Ovis aries: one gene and its partner. The protein of the gene in region 1 interacts with the protein of each later gene in a pairwise test. Links are inferred from orthologs where the notes say so. Each region holds a gene or a part of one and is shown on either strand. Other genes may lie near its edges. The genes, in order: CLK4 and UBL5.

Region 1 (4,371 bases):
TAATGAATACTGGAGTAGGAAATGGCAACCCACTCCAGTACTCTTGCCTGGAAAACCCCATGGACAGAGGACTCTGGCAGGCTACAGTCCATGGAGTTGCAAAGAGTCAGACACCACTTAACGACGGAGCACACAGATCCTTACTCCTACCTTACTCTGACACCAACTTTCGGTTCTCCTCTTCTTCTGATCATTCATTTTCAGGCTTTTTTCCTGCCCCGTAAGTGCTCCTTAGGGCTTAAATTTTGACCCTCTTTTCTTACATAAAGCTCACAATGGGAAACGGTCCAGGGATTCTTACAACTGGGAAATATCTTGTTTTAACTGGGCTCACTAGTTCTCAAATATTATTCTCCTGGAAACCTGGGTTCGATCTCTGGGTCGGGAAGATCCCCTGGAGAAGGAAATAGCAACCCACTCCAGTACTCTTGCCTAGAAAATTTCATGAATGGAGGAGCCTGGTGGGCTACAGTCCATGGGGTCGCAAAGAGTCGGACACGACTGAGCGACTTCACATTGGTACTTTGAATAAAACCCACAGGGGTAAATAAAAGGGAAAACTTTGTTAGGGAAACTTTAGCTGCCAAATCTGCTCAGGAGGCAGGTAGGGAGTCTCAACAGAAACTTCTCTTTTTGTTGCTGTTTCTCTCAGGAGCATAGACCTTAAAAAGATAAGCACCTCTGAGCTTGTTTCCTAGGCTATCCTCTTAATTATCGGAATCCATTTTTAGACAGGAAGTTGCAAGCAGGCTCAACTACACTATCCCCAGCACCAGTCTGGACCTGGTTACCGAGCCGATTTGGGGCTTGTCTCTTTCGTGATGACTGTGCCTGAGTTGAGGGATTGAGGGCCAGAGGAGAAGGGGACGACAGAGGATGAGATGGTTGGATTCCATCACTGACTCAATGGATATGAGTTTGAGTAAACTTCGGGAGTTGGTGATAGACAGGGAGGCCTGGCGTGCTGCGGTTCATGGGGTCGTAAAAAGTCGAACACGACTCAGCGACTGAACTGAACTGAGGTCCTCCGGTAGGCGGAAGGCAGGCAGCCAAAGTGCCATGGTGCGGCCCACTTGGGCGGAAGGGCAGGAAACGGAGCTTTCGTCGCCTCTGCTGAGAGGTGCAGCATTCAGAATAACCCCTCCCACAGCTGCAGGCAGGCGCCACAAGCTTAGGGCGTTTCCGCCCAGTTTGACCCAGGTGCTCCCAGAACGAAAACAATCTACGGCGCAGCCTCAACCAAAGCAGGTCTCAGGGCGCGGACTGCTCGGCGGGGAGAACTGCGTGGTGGAGGGCGGGGCCAGCCCTGACGTCACGTGGAGCCCGCCCCTTAGGGGTGGGGAGGGAGCGCGGGAGCTCTGTCACGCAGGCGCGTTCGCCTGGTGTGGGCGGCGCTAGAGGCTGCCGGGGGGTTGTAGGGAGACGGCGCTGCCGCCATTTTGTAGGGTGTTTGTCGCAGCTTTTGGAGAGAGAAGACGGCGGTTTGCCGACAATTCTCGGCCAAAGGGCCTTTTGTTTTTGCGGAGGTAAGGCTTCAGGCACTGTGTTCTGGGCTGGGCGGCTTCCCAGTTTTGTAAGTCTCGAAGCCAGGTGTCGGAAAAACGACGGGATTCGGGGCCTTGGCGACCGGGGTGCGCTTGGGACACAGCTCTGCTTGTGACATTTAAAACCTAAAGTTGCCCGGGCGTCATAGTAGATTTAAAATCTTAGGGATAAAAGGCCTCGGCTCTGCCGCTAGGTTTTTTCAGAGCACCCAGGCCTCTCGCATCATGGCAACTTAGGCCGTGCTTCGTCCCGCCGGTCAGAGGACCTGTCTTGGAACCCTTCTAGAACCGCCTGGAGCAAGTATACTCCTAGGTCAAACCTTCCCCTGGGTGCCTGTCCTCAGCTGTTGGTAGCATTCGGGGATTTTCCGGGGTCAAATCTCTTAAGTGCGCCAAAGGCCCTGGCCAAGTGCCCTGGCGGATAGGCTGGGGCTGTGGACTGGGCGTCCGAGGGCAAGTCTGCGAGTTCAGGTGGAATTTAGCTCGTGCTTATGAGATGTAAATATGGAGAGACTCATCCATTGTGCAAACTTTTTAAAGTGGAGCGTGTCATTATTGCAGCAGATTTGCATTTCTGATGCTTTTGAATCACACTGTCTTTCATTACTTAAGCAACCGTGGTATGCTTATCCTGTCCTTTGGAAACAGCACTCCAAACTGACCGGGTCAATCTCCTGATCTCATTTTATAGCTATCTTTGTATGCTTGTGTTCCATACATACACCTTCAGGCTTTTTGTTATCAGGTACATCCTCTTGGAGCCATCTAATCATAACTTTAACCTTTATAGATATTTTAAAGCCATATATATAGATATAAAATTGTTGGGTAAAATAGAGTGTTAAAAGGCAGTAGAGAATCAGGTTTCCAAGACGGATATAGACATATCTGGTGTTTTTTGTATCTGGTGTTTTTATTGGAAGATGTCTGATGGTTCTAACATGTAGAATTCTTACTAGTTAGAGGTAATGCAGTAATTTTAGGGGGTTGGGTTTTTGTTTTTGTTTTTTGTTTTGTATGTGAAGGAACTTAATTTGTGTAACCTGGGTCCGGGATTCTTTTCTTGGCCTCCTAAGAAAATAATTCTGAATAGCAGTGAAGGAGGGCTTCCTAACATGAATTAAAACGAAAGTAGTGAACTTGGCTAGAGAAATAAAAAACTTTGGCTCTCCCAAGACTGTTATTTTAATATTTGCACATTGATAACTGGTTATATAAGAATTACGTTTTGTTCACAGGTGAGCTAGTTTTGGCTGGCTGACAGTAGAAGGAAAAAACTGAAGCAGACATGTTTTGCAAAAACTATGTATTAGTCATAATAATAAGCATCAAACATCAGATGGGATTTTGCTTGGTATGATTTAAGAATGCTTAACTAAGCAATTTTAAAGTTCCTTTGTGATTAAAATACAGTTGGGGTAATCAAAGGGTCAGAAGAATTCCACTAAAAATAGAGTTCTTTTTATGGCTTTTCTGATGGTCTTTTTTGCTCCTTAATTTATAGTGTGATTTATTTCAGTTTCCCATATTCAAATGACCTATGAATAGGTCAAATCCAAATGCTCACTTACCAATTTCCAGTGAGAACCCTAACTAGAGTTTTAGAGCTTTTGTTTAACTTAACCAGTGCCTTGTCTGTCTTTTTTAAAGCAAGCTAAAAGAGAAGCTGCATATCAGAAGTATGTGTGATGGGCATAGCGTTAGAATCAGTAAGAGAAGTGAGTTAAAAGACCTGAGTATTAGTGGCTTCAGGCTTTGATGGCATTTTAGCTATATTTTCTTAGGAAATACCTCCCAGGAGATGCCTCATTTCAAAATCTTTTGTAAACCATTTGAAATCATTTAAGTTGTGTTACTTGAATTCATTTGCTTGTTACTGAGTCATTTGGTCAAACTGAAGGAGGTTAACTAAGCTGGCTTTGTTCCAGTTTACCTTTTTCAGCTCCTTGCTTGGTTGTGAAACTCAGGGCCTTCAACAGAGTTTGGACAGCTGTTAAAAACAAAGCTGCTTTGTGAAAGAGCTAAGATGTGGAGAGGCATAGAGATGACTTGTTAGAATACAGATCCTAAAAAACTTAATGAAGTTTGTAGGTTGCTGTCTGATTTCGGTGTGACCATATTCGTCCTTATAGGTTCATTTTCTTAGTCATGCCAGATCTACAACAGATATGTTTAATTTTAAGAAGGCTCCAGGATGATTTGAAAATAAACTTGTGGTTAGAAGAAATGAGTTCATAAAATGGCTTTTTATTGCTCTTCAGGTTCTCAGTTGAATACTGTGTTCTATTCACACCCTGAGTTCTATTCAAAGCTGAGAGTCATTCTCAAGATTTAGAGAATGGGACTCTTGACAGAGCAAAAGGATCTTCATTAGTGGCTCTTACCTTTAAAACAAAGTCATCTCCTGTATTAGTATCCCTAAGTATTTCTCTGACTTCAGTTATTTGTGTTACAGTGTTTTGCCAAAGGTGCATTATACTTGGTGATACTTGTTTTAAACTAGCTCACCTTTAAAGTTAACATCAATAACTTAGAGTTTGATAATAGCAGTAATTTAAGAGGTTATTAGTAATTTACCATAGGAAAAAGGTAAGAAAGCTTCCCAGATGGTGCAGTGGTAAAGAATCCACCTGCCAAGACAGGAGACACAAGAGAAAGACTCTAAGCCTGAATCCTGACTCTTTATTTTTAAAATAGCAGTTAGCGAATGTTAGTTGAAGACAAGCACCAAACTGAGAATTTATCCAGAATAATTGAAAAAGAAAGTATGAAGGTCTCACAGTGTTATCATTTAGTATCAGGATCTGTGTGCCACTTAGAATCAATC
Region 2 (3,615 bases), about 25 Mb from region 1:
AAGTAAACACAATCAGTTCCAGATTGGATAAGGAAATGAAGGTTAAGGGAGATTAAGTAACTACCCAGGGTCACAGTTGGTGGTAGGGCTGGGGTTCCACCCCTAGTCTGTCTGAATCTAAACCTGTATTCCTAATTATTAATTCTACTAAGGTCCTTGCCCAGAGGATCCTTGGTCTATTGATGACAATAATCCCAGGATCTTTTGACCTTCAGAAAAGTGTTAGTCACTCAGTTGTGTCCAACTCTTTGTGACCCCATGGACTGTAGCCTGCCCGGCTCCTCTGTTCATGGAATTCTCCAGGCAAGAATACAGCAATGGATTGCCATTCTCTTCTCCAGGGGATCAAACCCAGGTCTCCCGCATAGCAGGCGGATTCTTTACTGTCTGAGCCACCAGGGAGGCTCAGAGACATGGCTAGCCCCAGAGCTCTGGTCTTTCACTCAGGTTCCCAGTCAACTGGCTCCCTCCTTGATCCAATCTTGAAGTCTTACTGAGCAGCTGAGTGGGTACTGAGAATACAGTGACAACCAGATACCAACCCTCCCCTCAAGAGATAAGTCTCACTCAAAGATGACAACAAAGCAGCCTCTAAGTTTTTATTAATGAGAGTTTCCAAAAACAAGCATCCATATTAGTGTGGGGAGTGAGGGTGGGAGGAGGGGGAAGGGCAGGAAGAAGGAATTCTGCTCTATTGGTAATAAAGCTCCAGGTTCATCCCATCGTGGATTTCATCTGAAGTGAAGGTGTTAAGGAATCCTTATGGTGGGCTCCATCCCCATCCCCATCTCTCACGACTGCACATTTGGGACTGGATCATTTTGATTTGGAACGAATCCAAACTTTGTAAAAAGTTCATGTTCCTTCTGCACAACAGACATCCTGGAATCTCGTTCCACCCTGGTCTCCTGTCCCCACTCAGGTGGAGCTTAGTAATAAATATTTTGACCAGAAAGTGTCAAAGTCTTACAAGCCAAGTCAAAATATTTCACCAACCACCCTCCTCCCCCAACAAAATAATGAGATGGCTCCCACTCTAAATACTTACTATGTGCCACGTTCTAAGTTAAATAGCTTATGTGCATAACCTCATACAGACCTGAGTATTGAACATAGAGAACCAAGTCTGGGTATGTAGATCCTTCCTCAAAAAGTCAAAAAAGGATACAGTCCCCAAGAGACACGTGGTCCTTAAAAATCGTGTACCTGTGGGATAAAAACTTTTTAGAAAAAAGTCTAAGGAGGCTCTTCACCCCCGAGACCAGCTAAAAAAGTTCTGCCTAAACAAAGGGCTGGCTGCAGCCCTCCCCCAACCAAACCCTTCTGGCCTGCTCCTGTCCAGCCCCTAGTTCGACCCCTGTACTCACCACTTCTTCAATACGATCTTGTTCCAACGGGTGCCAGTTTGGGCTGCGATCAGCTTCTTCAGGTCCCCGATGGTGTCATCCGTACTGGACGCAGAGGAGTTAAGGAAAATGGAAAGGGGACTCTCCCCATTCCCACCCCAACCCCCGGGTTTAACTACAATCACCCTAAAACAAAGATTGAGTTGCCTGCCTCATGCCAAGCACCCCCAGGAAGCCACAGCCACTTGGTCGCCAGTGGATACTTGCACTTAACGCGCACTTTCTTCCCCAGACGGTCGTTGCAAACAACCTCAATCATCCTGGCTGGAGCAACACAAGGCGGGGACTGGGAGGCAACTGAGTCGGGACTTCAGGGGTCCCCTAGATCGCAAGACCCCCGGTTATTGAAACTTAACGTTCACGTCCCCATCATTCCCCCAGATCGGAGTCTCCCCAGGCTCCAAGTTCCGTGTCCCAGGACTTCGGACCCCAGGGCTACCGCGGACGCCGGGCAGCCGTGCTCCTCCCCTCCAGCAACCCGCCCAGGCCCCGACCCACTCCAGGTAGCCTGAAGACCGAGCCGAGCCTCTCTCAGGCCGGCGGATCCTCGAAGGCCGGGTCCCCTCACCTTTCCCGGACTCCGGACTCCTCTACCTGGCCCCCTCACCTCAAATCGCCTGGAAGCAGCAGACGCCACAACCTCCTAGCACGACTGCTAAGCCTAGGCCAGAGCAGACACTAAGAACCTACGCTAAAACAGGAAGCGGAAGTGCGCAGCCGGAAGCTCCACCCCTCCCCCCGGTGCCTGTCAACACGCCGCGGAGTGCTCATCCCAGGGTAGGATGTGGGTTTGCAGTTCCCAGGAGCGGTTTTGGGCTTCCAAGCCTGGGCAGGGGGACACCTGTGGACGGAGCGTTGGGCCGAGTGAAGGTCCCGGCTGGGGAGAGGAGTGGAGTGTCAGAGGTCTTGGACCGGCGTCCAGCCTTTCGGAGGCCCTTGGTTGAAGGCCCTTCGTTGTGCCGAGACACCCTCTAGTGTAGCATCTGGTGGGGACGCCCAGGCACATCCCGAGAGAACAGGGTTGACCTCCTGTTCCTGAGCCCAACGAAGTCTCTAACAGAAGCTTCAGGGCTACGGGGAGCCTGGATCAAGTCCTGCAGTTGTACTATACGTCCCCCTGCCTTCATTCAGGGCTGGACCCCGGAAGCGTTTTACTAATCCCTCCCCTCTGGCTATCTCGCCTGTCCCCAGGGACATCTGGGTTGCTGGCTACAATCCGTAAGTGAAGGAGTCTTCTGATTCTGGCCTGGGTACCAGCACTTACCAGCACTCCAGAATGAAGTTCAGCACTTACCAGAATGCAGCACTGATGAGGAACCACCTGGTGGAAACCAGCACACGTGCAAGAGTTCCCAGATCTTTGACTTCAAGGAAAGTCGCTCCTGCCCTACAGAGGGCGCTGTGTACCAGATCCCAACCTTGCTTTTCAGCCCCAGAGCAGCCCCCGGACTGATATGGTTCCCCAGAGCTGGTGGGACAGGGAACACCCCTTCCTAAATCCAACCTGCCTGTAGAACTCACTATTGAACAGTTTCTTCTCAGCAGACAGAATTCTCCTAGTTTGACAAGCCTAAAACGATTCACTCTGAAAAGGGGCTGGCAACTTCTGATTCACCCAATCCACCTTCTCAAAATAGGGTGTGAGATTAGGCAGAAGACCTGAGATACCTTCCTGGGGAAAGGATGGATACTCTGCGACCCTGTTGGGGCTGCCCTGACTTAAGGAACTGGCTCAAGAAGTGCCATCTCAAACACTAGTCTCCAGGGCCTTCCTGCCTCAGGACTTTTTCTTTTTTTCTGCCTCAGGGCAGAAATTTGTTATTTCTCCAACCTCTGCAGAATCCCACTAAGTGGGCTTCAGAGGGCAGGGAATCTTAATGGAAAGTTTATTCAGATTGGAGACACAGATCCAGATGATGAATCAAAACCTCAGTCTCATTCCTTAATGTTAAGCTGCATGGTCTCAACGGGCTTCCAGATGGCGCTAGTGGTAAAGAACCCACCTGCCTGGGTCGTGAAGATCCTCTGGAGAAGGAAAAGTACAAGCCAAAAGTAAGACCACACTCCTGGCCTCATTCTCTCTCCTGAGTTGAAGCCTTTTTCAGTGTATTTCTGTAAACTTCCATTAAAAAAATTGTTTTAATTAATATTTATTTTTAGTTATTTACTTGGCAGCACGTGTCATGCAAACCCTTAGTTGTGGCATGTG

The links.
Region 2: the proteins of CLK4 (region 1) and UBL5 interact in a two-hybrid assay, tested with the Homo sapiens proteins (2 studies listed by BioGRID and IntAct). The link is inferred for Ovis aries from reciprocal best matches to the Homo sapiens genes CLK4 and UBL5.

The regions. Positions count from the first base shown.
Region 1 is NC_056058.1:37,441,505-37,445,875, reverse strand, and holds the start of CLK4 (dual specificity protein kinase CLK4), read left to right. Parts: upstream 1-1,441; 5' UTR 1,442-1,526; intron 1,527-4,371. UniProt on the Homo sapiens protein: Dual specificity kinase acting on both serine/threonine and tyrosine-containing substrates.
Region 2 is NC_056058.1:12,275,552-12,279,166, reverse strand, and holds UBL5 (ubiquitin-like protein 5), read right to left. Parts: upstream 2,087-3,615; 5' UTR 1,975-2,086; intron 1,728-1,974; 5' UTR 1,666-1,727; coding exon 1,610-1,665; intron 1,452-1,609; coding exon 1,368-1,451; intron 1,207-1,367; coding exon 1,169-1,206; intron 736-1,168; coding exon 692-735; 3' UTR 586-691; downstream 1-585. UniProt on the Homo sapiens protein: Ubiquitin-like protein that plays a role in cell proliferation and sister chromatid cohesion by associating with spliceosomal proteins. Participates thereby in pre-mRNA splicing by maintaining spliceosome integrity.